4 linked regions of the Arabidopsis thaliana genome follow. The protein of the gene in region 2 interacts with the protein of the main gene of each other region in a pairwise test. Each region holds a gene or a part of one and is shown on either strand. Other genes may lie near its edges.

Evidence for each region.
Region 1: the proteins of AT2G22880 (region 2) and AT1G28280 interact in a two-hybrid assay, tested with the Arabidopsis thaliana proteins (one study listed by BioGRID).
Region 3: the proteins of AT2G22880 (region 2) and AT2G42140 interact in a two-hybrid assay, tested with the Arabidopsis thaliana proteins (one study listed by BioGRID).
Region 4: the proteins of AT2G22880 (region 2) and AT1G78410 interact in a two-hybrid assay, tested with the Arabidopsis thaliana proteins (one study listed by BioGRID).

What each region holds. Positions count from the first base shown.
Region 1 is NC_003070.9:9,885,236-9,889,980, forward strand, and holds AT1G28280 (VQ motif-containing protein), read right to left. Parts: upstream 2,244-4,745; 5' UTR 2,161-2,243; coding exon 1,417-2,160; 3' UTR 1,076-1,416; coding exon of another isoform or gene 1,062-1,075; 3' UTR 842-1,061; downstream 1-841. Other genes in the region: AGP31 (arabinogalactan protein 31), read right to left, coding at 4,096-4,406.
Region 2 is NC_003071.7:9,739,959-9,743,810, forward strand, and holds AT2G22880 (VQ motif-containing protein), read right to left. Parts: upstream 1,506-3,852; coding exon 1,161-1,505; downstream 1-1,160. Other genes in the region: EMB2001 (P-loop containing nucleoside triphosphate hydrolases superfamily protein), read left to right, coding at 71-140, 504-666, 754-963; AT2G22890 (Kua-ubiquitin conjugating enzyme hybrid localization domain-containing protein), read right to left, coding at 2,542-3,381.
Region 3 is NC_003071.7:17,567,557-17,572,066, forward strand, and holds AT2G42140 (VQ motif-containing protein), read right to left. Parts: upstream 2,114-4,510; 5' UTR 1,927-2,113; coding exon 1,408-1,926; 3' UTR 1,121-1,407; downstream 1-1,120. Other genes in the region: AT2G42130 (Plastid-lipid associated protein PAP / fibrillin family protein), read left to right, coding at 1-36, 120-172, 268-360. UniProt on the Arabidopsis thaliana protein: May function as positive regulator of plant growth.
Region 4 is NC_003070.9:29,500,398-29,505,139, reverse strand, and holds AT1G78410 (VQ motif-containing protein), read right to left. Parts: upstream 2,559-4,742; 5' UTR 2,413-2,558; coding exon 2,086-2,412; 3' UTR 1,642-2,085; intron 1,407-1,641; 3' UTR 1,202-1,406; downstream 1-1,201. UniProt on the Arabidopsis thaliana protein: May modulate WRKY transcription factor activities.

The sequences.
Region 1 (4,745 bases), on a different chromosome or scaffold from region 2:
GTATATATTTAAGGAATTTAGGTACAACATGATAAAAAAAAATCGGGATTAGATTCTAGTGGGTAAGATTTGATCAATAGTACATATATATTCACAAAAGAGTGGAAAAGTTAAAAATAAAATAAAATTTAGGATATTATTTTTTGTTTTATAAAGAGAGAAATTTTAAAAATAGGTCAACTTCTCAATAGCACCAATAGTGGAAATGGGGCCCACACTTCAACTCTCTTCACATGAGAATTTTTTTTGTTTAGAGAGAGAAGAGATAATAGATCCGGTCCACCATGAGAAGATTGAGTCAAGTTTAATTTAATTTTTAGTCTTCGAAGACCATTCAATGATAAATACTAACATAATTAAAGTGTTAATTATTTCTTTTGACCACGTCCATTTTGTGTAACCAATTAAAACACCTAATTTTTGAAAGTTTCCAACAAGCCTAATTTTACTCTAAACAAAAAAACCTTTGACCAAGAAATATTCAAAAGATAAAAATCATATGGGGCCAATTTAGCATATGCCCATTACCTCAATCCATATGCCACTAAGTCCACCTTCAACTATATTTTAAAACGAAACACTCAAAACATAATTTTTTACCCCAAGATATTATTAGACCCAATAGTGACCACAACCAAAACTTGTACTCTAATGTATCCAAAACCACAATTTTTTGTTCTTGTTACGGTTAAAAACAAACAATATCATTATCATTCATTAGGCCACAAATATAGGTAAAAGCGGTCAAATCTCTAAAAACCCTATCATCAAATCATGAATTCAAAGAAAATATAGTCAAAAGATTCCTTACCTCTTAATTAATACTCTCTCTTTTAGACAGCTAAGCCCCACTCTTTATCTTCCTTCTATCCAATTTACTCTTTTCTTTCTTTTTTTCAATTTCGTATTCTCCTTTTTCTAAGGAGAAAATATGAAAATAATAATAACAAGAAAAAAATCTCTTTTATTTTCCACACTCCTTTTTCTTTTTGTTTACCCTTTCATCAATCCTTAGCAAAAAAAGGTTGGACCAATTTGGTTCCCTCTAAAGACCAATCTCTTCATCTTTTGTTTACTGAAAAAAAACAAATGTAGAATGCAACTAATTGTGTGTTTATGGAAATAAAATAGAATAGAAACAAAAAACAATTTGCTCATTTCACTAAAATTGTACAAAACTCACTGAATTATTATCAGTACTAATCTAATTTATCAAATTCTGCAGAATAAACTCATCAATATTAAACCATTAATACAATTGAAATCGCGAATTGGATTTAGCAAACATCTCAACATTACAAATTTTCTCGTATAATTCTCAACATGATTCATCTCAATTCCCCAATTATAATATATAATTAAGATCACAAAAGGATAATAAAAATTTGAGTAAAAAAGAAAAATTAGGTCTTTTTTTCAAGAAGTAGAAGCTGATGAAGAACCTGAGACTCTAGGAGAAGTCACCGGGAATAGAGGAAGAAGTCGAGGCTCTGGATCCATCGGAGTTGTTGCCGGAGATGGATGCAAATAAAAGCCTCTCTCTTTCATTGCTTTCTCCTCCGCAGCAAGCTCGTTGGGGCTTTGGTTTGATGACCCGGATCGATCAAACGGGTCGGGTATAAGAGGCGTAACCGGGCTGAGAACGAGAGATGGGAAATCTAAGATGCTTGGAGAGAGGATCTCCGGTTTACGGGGAGAGAAAGCTGAATTAACCGGGTTAAAAACCGGGTTTAAAGGATTGATTTTGAGATTCTTCATTGAATTACGACGCTCGTAGAGACGAAACCCTGATGCTGAAGAAGAAGACTGTTTCTTGTTAGGTACGGCTTTGATTGGTGGGATTGAGAAAGAAGAAGGAGTGGATCTTGGGTCGGGTTGATGATGGGTCGGGTTTGGTTTGAGAGATGAACCGTGTTTGGGTCTCTCGGCGGATCCGGTTAGCATCTGGACGACTTGTTTGAAGGAAGAAGTATCTGCTTGGACGAATGTTGTCGGGTACGGGTTACCGGATTCGGATCTTGTGGTTACGTGTCGGGTCGGAGTTGTTGGTGGTTTGTTACTTTCACTGCTACTGCTCATACCGCAACTGTTGTTGCTGTTGTGACATCTCGGCGACGGAATCAGATTCGTCGCTTCTCTGTATCTCGGTGAATTCTCCATTGTAAGAGAAGAGAGCTTTTAGAGAGAGAGAGAGAGAGAGAGAGAGAGAGAGAGAGAGAGAGAGAGAGAAACTGTGTTTTGTTTTTGAGTTTAATAAGCTTTGTGTTTTGGTTCGGTAAGAAAATGTTTTCGGTGGGCGCTATTGGCTCTTTAGTCTTTTTTCTAGTTTCTTTAGGTCTTTGCTCACGCGCTGATTTAGAGAGTGCGTGTCACGCGCCGTCGTTGAAAGTGGGAGGAAAAATGTGCTCTATTTGGTTTTAGTCTTGGCAATAAATGATAGAGGTAGAGATAATTTACCCAAAGAACATTGAATATCATGAGAGGAAAATGTTGAACTCAATAAGCAATGATGGTTTAGATGACTAGGACGTTTATGTGACCTTTTGGTCAATAGAATTAATATAACTCGAAATGAATGTTATGGTAAGTTGATTTATCTACGTGTCGTCGTGATATATATATTCAACCAAGAAATGCTTATCTTGGAAGTAATCTAATCATTGGGTTTTAGTCGTTTGACTAAGTGAACTTAACATATGTGGAGAGATGTTGGGCTTTAATAGTTTTTTGGGCCTTATATTTATTGAAAATCTATGTGTACTTAGGTTGTTGCTTTACTTGTTGCCAAACGGGTTCGGTGTGGGTTAAGAAACCGAGCCCAGTTAGTGTTCATTTATTTGGGCCATGTATTATATATAGTTTATATTTTCACATTGGTGTTATCAAACTATGGAGTATCGATGACATATTCATTATTCAATACGTTAGATGTTTGAATTTTGATGCTAGAATTTAGGCTTGAGATTCAAAACCTTCTTCCTTTTCACTCTTACGATTTTTGGTGAAATGCTTTTATCCAAATAGTCAATACTAGAAATGATCAAACCTTATGAATCTCTCATGGATAGATATTTGATCTCGTGTCTGTTCAAAGAAGAAAATAAGAGTGAAGTTAGAAAAGATTCACACCGCAATATACAATTTCGATAATTAAACAGGTGATCAACACTTTCATCAAATTAGCTTCTTCTCAATGCGACTAAATTCTTCTTTGCTTCATAAAAAACTGAATTATAGTGACAAGGAGAAGTTGTAAAAAAAATCAATCATGATACTGTTACTAGTTTACGCCAAGTGAGTGTGTACAACATACTTTTTCTATTGACCCGAAATGTAGAGGCCTAATTAACCAATGCATAACAACCCGGTTAACATTTTTAAGAGAGCACGTGAGAAGCTTTATGAGCTAAGGAGAATCTTGATCCATGACACCCTATAAAATATTTTTTTTTTTTTAAATGTACAATCGCTTAATCGTCCCGCCACAACCCATAAACTCTTCTTGAATCTTGTTTAACACTTTTTGTTAAAACTGTTTTTTATTAATATCTTGAATTATTATTTGTCCTTTGTAACTTTGAGATTGTGATGGGAAATAATGTCAGCCCCGTGGCCGACAATTACGCAGCTGATTTTTCTCCGTATTCAAGAACAGACTAGAAACCCTATTCGATGAGTCCCCCTTCCCATCGAGCTTTTCACCCTTCTTTGTAATCATTTTTTTTTTTGTCTGCAGCGTAACTATTTTTATCATTTTTATTTGATCAAACAAAAAAGATATACAAGTTGAGAAAGAAAATAATATTCAAGTTATTCATTTAGTTACACATTCTAATTGTAAGATTCTATAGTTAACATTCATTTTGCTCATTCGTTTTGTAATGTAATGGAATCATCTTGAAAGCTGCTATTTTTATTCAAACGAAACTCAAACGACGTCACTTAAAGAGATACAACATAATACCCAAGCATTTAACTTAAAGACTAGCTAACATTGATTAAAATTCAACCGTACAGTAGACGCATAACAACACTCTCTCTCAATCTTTTTAAACATGAAACAATCAAGATAGTAACCAGAGCATCAAATCATCTTCATTTGGGGCAAGACGGGTTAAAGGCAAATGGACCAACGTTAAAGAGACCGTATACGAGCTTGTTGACGACCACCGTAGATTTTCCCAGCTTTTTCTCAGGCTTAAGTTCAGCGCCGACATCTCCACCGAAGAGCTTTGAGACTTTGCTGCATTTGTAGTCCTTTGATTTCACCAAATACACACGACATCCTCTGAAACCGAAGTTCGTCACCGTCTTAGGAGCCAACAACAAGAAGTATCCGTTCTTGTCTGTCGTCGTCTCCGCTGTTATGTTCTTCTTGCTCTTACACACTAGTTTCACCGTAGCACCTGCACAAACCCATAAAAAAATATTAGTCCGATATGTTTATAGAATAAAAGGATATAGTTATGTGTTTTTAATTATTTTTGTGGGAAGTAGTGAAATTTATTGGCCAGACTGTAAAAAACAGTGACTGATGAGTGCAGAAGTGTACATAGTCACTCTCTTTATTTCACACCTATTTTCGAAACATTGACTACTTACGTAACAAAGGTCCCACTTGTAACGTTTTCAAATTTGAATTATTTTCTGAAATATGCGTCATGATTAAGATATGAAGTACGTATTATTTTATAGATATATACACTGTTTGAATGCGTATGCAGAGCCAAGTTGAGTTGTTTGAG
Region 2 (3,852 bases):
TTTGGTTATAAAAATCGAACCTTTTAAGTTTTGGAAATCTGAAAGTTTGGATTTTTATTTGGTGAAACAGGGAAGACTCAGCTTATAAATCACTTCTTGGTGAATAAGAGTTGGTACATTGTGGATTTGCCTGGTTATGGGTATGTGTTTTGATCTCTTGCTTTTGGATAAAACAATCAGTTTTCTTTGGCTAAATTTGGTATATTTCAGTTCATTTTGGTAAAATTTAGGATAAGAGTTCGGTATTTTTGGTTTGGTAGTTCGATTGGCTTAGTTCTGAACTGGTACATTTGGATAAAATTTCAGTTTAGTATAGTCTATTAGTAATTTTACTTAAACTTAGAATTAAGTTTTGGTAAATTTAGTAAGGTGGTTCCGAACCGAACCGGTTGAGTTGGCTAACTCGGTTTGAACTGATACATAGTGGATTTGGATATGTATTTGTTGATATCTTGCTTTCAGATAAACGTTATTATTGTTTGATGTTGAGAATATATTTGCAGATTTGCTAAAGTTTCAGATGCTGCGAAAACAGATTGGTCTGCGTTTACTAAAGGTTACTTCTTGAATAGAGACAGTCTTGTTTGTGTTCTACTTCTCATCGATGCAAGTGTTCCTCCTCAGAAGATTGATCTTGATTGTGCTAATTGGCTTGGTCGCAACAATGTATGTGGTACCAATTCTGGCTTTTGTGTGTTCAGTGAAATGTTGCTTTGAGGACTTGTTAAATGACGTTTTTCGATGATTTTTCAGGTACCGATGACTTTCGTGTTTACGAAATGCGATAAAATGAAAGCAACGAAAGGGAAAAGACCTGATGAGAACATTAAAGCTTTCCAACAAATCATTAGAGAGAATTTTAAAGTACATCCTCCTTGGATTTTGACGAGTAGTGTATCTGGTTTAGGCAGAGACGAGCTTCTTCTTCACATGTCGCAGCTGAGAAACTACTGGGATCAATAGGTAGCGCGTAAATTTCGTAAACAAATGTTCGAAAAGGTCGGTTTTGAATCATTGGTTATATCAAATTGTAGTTTTGTAATGTAACAGTAACTTTTGTATTTAAAGATAAGATCATAAAGTGTTACTACTACAGTTCTAATTCTGATGAAACAAATTCATGAATTGCCGAAAAATTGGCAAGAATAGCTTCTTTCTTGCTACCATCTTGATAGATTAGCAGGACTAAGCAGAGGGAAAGCTTCCCAGAACCGAGATGACGAAGGTGAAAGATCAAACGCGAACGGATTATCCTTAGCTGTTGTTGTATCATCAGAAATCTTGACTGGTTTAGCTTCAACTTGATGTACCTCTTGCTCAACGTCTTCTGCACCAGTTAGCCTCTGAACTAACTCCTTGAAGTTAACAGGCTCGACTCTGTAAACTTTAGGATGCATCCTCTGAGGCAAGCCCGTTACGGGTTTTTTCCATGGCTTTGCCGGTTGCTTACGGGTCGAATGAAGTGAGGAGTTATGAGAGAAACATGGTTGTGAAGTAGCTTCCATGACGATCAGAAGTTTCTGTAATACACAAATGATTTGAAGCGAAGTGTCTTACCTTGATGGCTTTGTGTGTACACATATAAGTATTTATAAGTGTGTGGACGGCATTATTATGTCAACGTTTTGAAGCGTGTAAGTCATTTTGGGTTTTATGATCTTCTTTTGCGGCTTACTTGGTTTTTGACTTTTAAGTGAAATGAATGGGAACGAGATGGGATGATTCATGGAATTGAAATGTCAACGTGGGTGTGCTAACTATTTTTATTTTCTTGTTTATTTAAATGTTAGGTGAAAAGCAATGAGTACATTTTTGGATTAACGTAGTTTTTGTTAAAAAATAATCTAGATGACATGGCAACGGTGTCATTAGTAACATGGCATTCATGTCATCATTATCATCAAATATGTGGTATCTAACGTCAGCAGAATATATAATTTTGCATATAATTTGATAAATTAGGTATGTAATTTAATTTTATTTAAAAGATTAAGTATATATTAACGCATAAGAAATTATTAGATATAAATTAAACATTTGAACTTTGGTTGGGTGGTATGAAATAAGGTTGTGCCTTAATTAGTTACCTTCCGTTAGGATCCTGAAAACTGTTTAGGTCCACAACTACACAATATAACAAGCAAACAAAACTTTTGCTTCCGAGTGTCAGAGTAAAAGCAATAATGTAAAGAGATATCTCGATAAGTGATGAGACTCAATTATCCGCATAGAAAAAAAAAATATGTATAACGGAGAAAGATATCCTATCTACAAACCTTGAATATCACTTTCCATACAATGCAAACATTTTAGAAATTGTTACATTTACCCAAAAATGATATATTAAACTTATCAAATCTATCACAATTGTGATCTACATGTTTTTAAGTAAAAGAAAACATTTGGTTTTTGACATATTATATCTTAAACTAAATATAAATTAATCTCGAAGCCGCGGCTAAAAAATCGAGTTTTTCCCACTTAAAGCGAAGAATATAGCTAAAAGTGACGGCTAACATTTGGATATGTCGGTTTCTTCCGTCATTCGTAGTTTGGCTCGGTCCATGACCTCGGTCTCACCCCAAGTTGGATATACAACACCATCTCCATTGCCTTAAAGACATTGCTTTCATCCAAAACCTTGTTCCACACCCCACTCACTACGCAGTAATTGTTGTTATACGGTGCTCGGTGATGATTCATGTGATGTATCCGTGAAACAAGAAGCCCAATGTCTTGCAACCCAACCACAAGAGGTGGAAGCTTGCTCTTCGTTCCATGAGCCCAAGCATGGAACAACTGACAAAACAATACACAAAATGCAAACATGCTTACAAAGCCATGAACCACATGGTCATCAAAAGCAAGGTCTAGTGGGAGAACTATCAAGGTTGTGCCTCGAGCCATAAAATGTAGATTGTTTGCAAATTGCCGTTTGGTGATTGTCCATGGACACTTGTGATGATCTTGAGAGTCTTCGATATGGATTCCTACTAGAGGCGTAGACTCATCACCGTAGTTATCGGTGGCCCAGTGGTACACACCAGAACCTAGATCTGCTAAGATATACCCGGCGAAACCGGCTAAAGATGGTTCGAGCCAGAGATGAGAACCAAATGCTCCAATGATTGATTTGGAAAAAGAGACAAACACGGTGGTGCAGCCAGCTGCAACCCATAACCGGTGAGTCCATGTAGATTGTAGAGTTGGGTCGTTGGAGAGAGGAGGATTCACAAGTCGTTGCTCAACAACAAGCTTCATCTCATGGTTAGGCTGAGAGTTGGTGGTGGAAGTGACACGGAGAAACGATGGACGGTGGCTTCTTGGGATGTTGTTTGTGATGGGATTTAGAGTGTATTTGGTTTGAAGAGATGTAGCCATTGAAGCAGAGTATGTGATGTCTGAAAAGATATATCAAGTTTCTTGTTTTTTTTTCCAAAGCTAAATAAAACAAGGATATGTTTTTTTTTGTGACAGGATAAAAAAATCATTTAAAAGAGATAATTTTGACCAAAGAAAGTAAGAGAGTATTGAGATAATAACATTCAAAGAAAATCTCAAAAAATTTGGATTAATTTATGAAGTTACCAACTAAAACCTAACATTAAAAAGTATTATTAAACCCAAAATTACTCGTTAATACAGATTTCTATATATATTTATTTTTTCTTTAGAGAAAACTTTAGGAATAAAAAAACATTTACTTGGAGATGCGTTAAAACAAAAATAAAATATTCACTTGGTTTAGAGATATGAATTGGGTATATAATCAAGGAAATATCAACCACCATCAAAGGAACCAAATCACCAAAAGCATATAGAGTTCTTCATAACCACACACACACATATTAG
Region 3 (4,510 bases), 7.8 Mb from region 2:
AGGATACTCTAGCCAGTGGTCTGAGAATTCCCCTTAGTAAGCTACTTTATCCATTTTTTATACATTTAACCATTTTCCGCTCAAATCTGCACTGAACCAACTAGTGATGTTTGCTTCAGGTGGATCCTTTGAAAGATTTTTCATGATATCTTATCTAGATGAAGAGATTCTTGTAAGTTTGTTGAATATTTTGTTAAGAATGGTGAGAGAGACTGAGATCGTTGCACTAACCGAGTTTTATCCGCTTTTGGTTGTTTTTTCTCGTAGATAGTAAGAGATACCGAAGGAGTGCCTGAAGTTCTAACGAGGATAGAAACACCATCATCGACCGTTGTAGAAACTATCGAATATGATAGTTAGATGTGACTAGCCATTGTTCTTGTTCTTGTTCCTATGTTCTCTGTGTGTTATATTACAAGAACCAACCACCAAGTTGGTGTCTGTAAATGTATGACGTTAATAACTTGAGGGTCATCTCCATACATCAAAACCCCTTCCTTCTTTTGTGTTCGCTCGGCAAATCTTCTCAAGTTATCCAAGTACTTGCAGATTCTCTGTTTTGATCATCTTAATAAACTCTTTCTATGTAAGAGGCAGCTCAGATTTAATATTTTTCTTAGTTGATTTATAATGCCAACTTGATCAAATATGAATACATGATGCGGGTTATCTTTTGATGTGTCATGTGTAGTTCCATCATCATCATGCATCATCACCATCACCACCGTGACACACATGCATATATACACGTTTGTAATTGTGGTTACTTGTCGGCTCATATCTGTAATTTTAAAATATTATATTTGTTATCTTGATTAATTATGGTCCCATTTGTACTTATCTTATGTTAAGTATCAGTCAATCGATCAATAAGTCTATTTCTCAGTCCATTTGGATAAGCGAGAAAAACACATCGCAAGTGAGGAAAAAAGTATACATAGAATTTCTAAACGTCCATTATATTCAGATAGTGTTAGTTAATTACGCTATAGCCAATCCCAATGATATTTTGTTATAGATTTTCATAATCCTTACATATTTAATAAGGATTTTCTTGGTAAAAAGTTTGCGAAATTCTATTTGTGATTTATCATTATTATAATGTGGATTTGAATTATATAGATTTATAAAATTTCATACCTACTTACTAGATTATAGTGTAATCATATAAAAAATACAAAACCAGAGGGAAAAAATTATGCAGAAATAGAACTCGTAATAATCGTAAACCCGAACCTCCCACGATTCCACAAGAATATTGTCTAGAAAGTCAAACATTTCAATTATCGAAAAAAACAAAAATTAGCTTCTAGAAAGTATATAAAAGAAGAAAACAAAAAATTATTAAAAGTTTTAACCTATTTTAAAGAAATAAAATGTTTAAAAGATTCTTCCGCTTGAGACGTTTTAGGCGTAATGGTGAGGTTCTGCGAAAACGTTGCCATGTAAGTGGGAGGAAGAAGCAACGGCAGGGTCAATGGTGAAGGGTAAATAAGGAAATTCACCTAGCTCCTGAATGAAGCCGTCGAGATCTCCTAACCCGTTCAAGAACCCACCGGAGCTCTCGTCACCATTTCCGTTCCACGTCATCGACACCATCCCTTCTTCCTCTTCATCTGAGTTTATGCAAAATCCATGGCTCTTGTTCATGTCATGGACTTCATGATGATCATGACTTCTTCTAGATCTAGGGTTTCTTTTGAGACCCTTTTGGTGGGGGAGATCGTGGTGATGATGATCTTGTTTCCCGGTGAGATTCTGGACGATTTCCCGGAAGTTGGCGACATCGGTCTTAATGATCTCCGGTGCGAATATGTGAATGATTCGGATCTTAGGTTTAGATTTGGTGAGTGTTCTTGACTGTTTGTGCATGGCTATTGTTGGTAAGCTTCTTCTTTTCTGAACAGTAGTAGCTTCAATTTCCATAGTTTTGTAGAAGAATAAAAATTAGGGTTTATGTGATCAGAAGAGAGAGTTGGTGATTTTTTTTGGTAAGTGAAATGTGATAAGGTTAAGGTTATATAGGAGAAAAGATAGAAGAAAATGGTAAAGAAAAATCAACTATTTTAGATGTACAAGTTTTAGTGACAACTAGGTAATATATGTTTAATCCTTTTCCTTTTCTTTTTCTTTTTTGTCAACTCGTATTTCTAGTTTATATCGTAGCAGAACGTAAAGATCCTGAATATATTATTAATAAAGGCAAATAATATTGATTGATGTCTTGTTGAGATTCAATAGATAAACTATAGTTTGAATAATTAACATACAATATGAGATTACACTTATATTGAATATTGATGAAAGAGATGTGTCAGGCTGTCTCCGAAGACATGAGATTTATGAATCCAAAGGAAGTCCAGGGACCCCTCCAACTATAACAAAATCCTCGTTTTGGAATGTCTTAAGACATTAATTCATTATATTTTTAGCATATTGTAATTTAGTATCATTGATATTAAATTTTTGTGGTCAGAGATCCACGTACGATATTGCATGTAATTTGTAATCGTTTTCGCATTCATACAAGTAAATGTGTACACATGGTGTAAAAACGATACAATATTAAAGTTGGAGTTTATATAATTCATGAAGGTGACACATACAATATTTCCAATTGAAATGTATTTTTTATCTCAACATAGTCGAAATAAAGTAAAAGTTGTCATTAGTATATTTGGCAATGTGTGTTTAGTTAAGGTATTACGCATAAATCCAGGTGGCTTCAATTAAATAAATGCCTATAGGATTGCAGAAACTTGTCCCCATGTAATGTACACAAACTCAACCACCTTATCATTTGCAATCTCTAAAGTTCAACATAAAAATACAATTTGTGTGGACCACTACCAACACTTTTTATAATCTATGATTACAGCCTTAACAACGAGAATCTCAGATAGTACATGTTTAACTAAACTAAATTGGATGACATAATTTGAAAGAATTATATATGCAAGGTGTAAATTTAACGTATAGACATGTCTTGATAATTAAGAACCACAAATGTCACAGCTAGTGGTATATATAAAACTAAATTTTAAATACGTATATATGTGTGTGAAATGTCATGATAGGTTAATAACCATTTAAACGAACTTATGAATAGTAACAAGACGAACTTATGAAATGAACTTGTGAAATGTCATGAGAGGTTAATAACCATTTAAACGAACTTATGAATAGTAACAAGACATGAAAAGATAAGAATTAATGTACACTTTATCACCAAAAAAAGGAAGATAAGATTGTACGAAATCGGACGTAATAATGTAAGGACATGGAAATGGCATGACCCTCGGGTGCACGAGGCAGTTCCACTTCCTGACGACTCTCCATTTTACTTGGTTTACTTTTATCTTATCTCTTTTCCTTTTTACCTTGCGAATCAAATTGACCTTTTAACAAATTCAATTCCTAAGTGTTTTTGTACAATATTTGTGAATTATAATGTGTAGTGTATGTCTATGCTTGTTTGATTTTCTAACGCTTGTTGGATATAAGAAACAATTATCTTGAAATCTCTACAGTACTTATCACATCCAAACACACTATATAATATATTGGACAAGCGATACACTGTCTTATACAAAACAAACCAATCACAAACAAATAGAAAACAATACATCTGTTTCGAGTCAAGTAACGTCCTATATATTTTATATAGAAAGTATAAATATACACACACTAGTTGAAAAACTTGAACAAGAACATGTTAGAGGGCATACATATATCATTCTTACTAACAAGAGATGTTTTGTATAATTAAGCCAAGACTTTCTAATATTATATTTGTGTGGTATAGATATCATACCAACAATTGAACTAGAATAAGCAATATATTTACCATACTATATCTTGTTTACCTAAGATTTAAAACGGATAATAGCCATCGGATGTACATGTACACGTGAAGAGTTGGGATATGAAAGAAATCCAAAGGCTGAGAAAAAGAAAGAGAGGTGAAACTCCAATGAAAGAATTGGGTTTGTATACGGAAACACGAGTCTTGTGCTCTCTTTTGGATCCGGACCACACGAGCGGCTAAAGAAGCAATGTTGTCAAAAACGTTAGAGCCGTATGGGTTATGGGCCCCACCATCTCTTTACTTGACGTGGTTCCCAGTTCCAAACTTGTGTTGTGTATATATCTTGTTTGGCTGGCAATTAATTTTTGAAAATTTTAATTCGATTTCTGAGGACAAAAGTGGTTGCTGATTAATCAACTAATCCAAATTTGCACAATGCTAATTCAACACTCGTGCTGCATTAGGTGAAAACTTATTCACACTGGGAAACCTGCCTTTTTATATAGTATAGATTGTTTCTCATGATTATTGTTGATTAATTAAAACATTTTTTAAAAATTAGTGTTGCAAAAGAAAACTAATCTTATATGTTGTTTTATTATATGAATGTAGATGCGGATATATGATTGAGTCCCACATGCTAACACGTATTGTTCCCTGCTGGGGAAGAAGGAAATCAAAATCATGGGAGAATTATAAGCA
Region 4 (4,742 bases), on a different chromosome or scaffold from region 2:
AGCCTAATTTCTAACCTAAAGGTACATACTTTAAATTGGAAACAACCTCCACCACATAACCTGCGCAAATGGTAAATTCAATATAAGAACACAATTGGGGCAAAACCCTAATTTGAGAGAGAAAAACCCTAACTTTGGAACTAATTCAATTCGGGGCTGGTTACATAAAACATTATCAAACCCTAATTACGTAATTTACGTATCGAAGTTGCAAAATATTCCACGAATTGAAACAGAAGAAACCCTACAAGTTCTGATAAAAAAGTACGGAAAAAGAAGGATAAATCGGAGAAGAAAGAAACCTGAAAACTTCGAGGGCAGAAGAAAACAAGAGACGAGAGATCAAACAAGGGTTTTTGGGTAAACGATAAGAGACACGATCAGAACTTTACTCTGTAGAGATAGAAAGAGAGAGAAGAGAGAAGCAAAGATAATACAGTGTTGTGTGTCTCTTTCGTATTATATAAAATTCATAGGGAAAAAAAACAGAGAGAGATTAGAACAAGTTCTGTATCTGCAAATTTCTTTTTAATATTTCGACGGAAAAATCTCAGAAGAGAGAGAGAGAGAGAGAGAGAGAGAGAGAGATGGTGATGATGTGGAGAAGCTAAAAGGGAACAGGAAACGATGGAGTAAGAGACGAGCCAAAGAATCCAACTCTTTGCTTCTTTCTTCCTCTCCACGCGCTTCTTTCTTCGCGTGTGTTTTTCATTTTCGTGTAAAACGACGTCGTTACGTTTATTTATGTTTTTTTTTGTTTGTTGACCAAAAAAGGATTAGAATATACGAAATCTTGTGAAGGCGGTTTTGTCTTAAGCACCGAGTTGGATCAGAATAATGTCTTTTTTAACATTTTATTCTTTAATTGTATCTTTGTTTGTCGCATTTGCATAATTGTATAGTCCAATATTCGTAATTTACCATCAAATTTATTAATGGAAAAAAATAAAGAAGTTAGTATCTTTGGTGTGTTACGAGACTCATTATGTGTTCAAAGTTTTGGTGATATTTCATAAACTAGATTAGTCGGCGTTAATGTTATATTTAATTGAATTTAAAAATGGTTCTTGTTGACGACAATATAGCTTAGTAGGTTCTACTTCTATTAGCTAATAATTTTTAATAGACTTGTATTGTATGTTGACGTATAATGTTTCGGATAATCGTTGAATCAACCCAACTATATACCAGAAAAAACCCTGAAAATAACTACCAGAAAGCTAGATTAAGAAAGAACGTTAAATAAAACAAGAATTGTAGATGAGACGATTAAAATCGTGAGTGTGTTTTGGGTTGATGAAAGGAAATGGTTCACCCAACACAAAATTGGTTAAGGTTGGTTAGAGAAGGTTAACCATGAGTTTTGTTGCTATTTGCCTCAGCCATTTACGCACTTACACAAAAACCTGTTTTATATATAAACACAAGAAGATTAGTTCATATAATGCTTCATTTGGTTGTTGTGAACTGTATCGCATGTTGGATTCTAAAAATTGTGAAATAGTCACAAGAATTAAACAGTTTTTAGTGAAATTACTAATTTTAGTGAAATCAAAATTCTTTTAGTTAAAAACATTATTTTGCAAGAAAAGAAAAACATGAAATATAAATATATAAAAAATATGGAAAAAAAAGTAATACCTAGTTGGACTTGGGTAGCAAAGACGCCCCATAGAGAAAAGCCCATAGTTGAGGCCTGACTTCTTAATCTGCTAGTCGCTTTCAATGCCTTTGTCACACACTCACACTTCTTGTTTTGATAATTGGTTCTAAAACCCAAATACACAGAAAATAAGAGAACCAAGTATTAATCTCGCATATACTTGGGCTTCATGGTCCTTTTAAACAACATATGAAAGCTATAATAAGCCCGTTTAAAATTCGGAGACATGGGCCGTACTGAAAGGTAACTCATAATTACTTTCCAAAACACAACATTCGTTATTGGACCTAATCTCAAGAGTGACGATCCAGTTAAGATGATTAAATCAAATCAACAACAACATTATCTCATTAGATAAAAAAGAAAAGATTTTGGAAGAAAACGAATGATTTAAAAATCATTGCACAGAAATTATTAATGACTCAATATTCTGACCATAGTTTATACAATTCTTCCATGTGAGGCATCTCTTTGAATAATCTATCGAACTCCGTCGTCGTCCCCATTCGTCCTCCTCCGCCGCCACCGCCGTGGAGCTGTCTGGTATCTTCACCGATTTTACTACCGCCATCGTAACAACGGCCGTCGAAAGCAGAGGGCGAATCAAAAGGACCGGCGGCGACGATGGCGTTCTTACCGGTGAGTTCTTGAACAACGGTCTTGAAGCTACGAGCATCTGTCTCAACATACTGTGTGTTAATGAACACAACCTTCATCGGCTCCGATTTCACTTTCCCTCTTCCAGACATTATTACTAAATTAATCGATTAGAGAAACAAGAAAAGAAAATTTTGTGGTGTTGATGATTAGGTTGATCAAATGATCTTAGTACTTAGTATATATCAGCTTTAGCTCTCTTCCTGTGTCTTTGGGTGTTCAGATGTTTTGTAGATTTATATGCATAGTTGCATACTTAGGTATTTATAGAGAGATTAAAGAGAGAAAGATATAATCTCTGTGGGGTACTGAAGTGACTCATTCAAGTAAATTTTTTCGTATTCTTTTTGAAACGATTTTATAATCGTAATCTTGTCCTACATGAAAACATATGTGACGACCTATTTTTTTCTTGTTTTTTTTCTTCCTGACGTCATGATACATTTTCGACGACCAACGTTTTTTATCATATTCGTTGAATTCCTAATAAATATTTTCCTAATTATTATATTGGCCGAAAATATTTACGGCTCTAGTCTAGAAATGCTTACCAATGAATTTTATGAATGAAGAATTTTTTTGACTAATTAAAGACTTTTTATACATCTGTTGATGAAACAATTACTGCATTCTGTATATTCTTTAGAATTTAACAGCAACGGTAAACTTAAAACAATTTTGAAACTGCAAGAAAATAACTTAATAGTAATTATTTAAAATCAAAGATTAACTACATATAATTATTTTTATAACCTATTGTTGAGAATATTAAACAAGGTAACTATTTGTTATACAAAGCAACAATCATTCAACATTTACTGAGATCAATCGAAAAGCACATGGCTTTGTGCATAGATAGGACCTTTGATCATTAAGACATGTTGACCGTTAATAAAATCTAGCAGCCTTGAAGGACCAAACATTAAAATTTATATATCACTATCACCATCAAAAGTATTAAAATTACCAAAAATCATAGTGTATTTTCATTAGATTGGGTCAAAGCACGCCTTCTTTGATGAAATCCTGTTACATCACGTGAAACAGCCTAAGAAAAAACTACTGAAAACTTACCAAGTATTTACACGTGAGTAGAATTTTGCACGTCCCCCCACACTATTTCGTTATGACAAAATATAATCGTCTTTGATTATGCTTCTAGAAAATAGTAAGGTGATGTCATTTTTTTCTTCAAAAGGTGATGTCTTTTTTTTCCATCGACAAAGAAAACACTAATGGCTTTAGTTTATTTTTTCAAGATAAAAATTTCTAATCAAAACATCCCAAATGGGGCTTTTAGTTAATAACCATGTTTTCCCTTTTTCCACAGCCAACAGCATATGAAAATTTTATACGGTTTAAAACATAAAAAATAGGAGGTAACATATACTCACATCATTGTAAGGTAAATTTTAAATGTTTGCATCTTGAATTATATTGATATATAGATTTTATTTTATTTTAAATATTGATATAAATGAGTAATGGATCATATTTTTGTAGATTTTACTATTTAAAAGAGATTAGAAAAAAAAAAAAAAAAAAGAGATTAGAAGTTCAGCATGATGCACAAGAAGTCACTGATAGTTACATACGATGTTTCATGGGGAGTTTCATAAAGGGACCCAATCATTCATTCAATTCCCTGAATTTTTGTTTTGTTGACTCAGACTTTCACTAACAAAATTCTTCTCAGAAATTGCAAATTAGTTCATTGTACGGTTGTACTTTTGCGATAGCCCTAATTATTTTCAGTTGTTACCAACCACACAAAAATTATATTGGCTTTACCAAAATTTTCATATGAAGAATAAAATTATATATGGATCAGTTTAAGCCTTAAGGTAAATACAAATCAATCCGTTATCATTTATCACTACACTACAACTTTTAGAAGTTGATACGTAATTATGTATAGTCTATTTTTTGTTTGTTGATAAAATTTGGTGCAGTACGTTATTGTACGTACAGTTTTGATATCAATATTAATAGACTGATGAACATACAAAGGGAAAGTCAAGTTTGGCTATAACGGATCAGAGTAAGGTTTTGACTACAAATCTTGACTCAGGAACCTGACTGTTTTTTATTTGATCGCCTTTGAAATTAAGTATATACAAAGTTTGAACAGATTAGTTATTTTATCTCAGCTTTTACCGCCGGTAATATATAGTTAACTATTTCGACTGGGGTAAGTTATGTCCATTTGAGTTTCAGCATTTTGGAATTTAACTTTGAATGAATATAAGTAAGTAATTAACTATTGTTCTGTTTTTATAGCAGATAAAAATTCACCGAAGATCAATTTCTTTTTTTTAAACAATCCGTAATATTTTACTTTACAAAATTAAATTCCAATCAGATTCGAAACTATGAGTTTAGCTTGTTACATCGTGTAGAGTTGTGTCTTGAGATTAGCCCA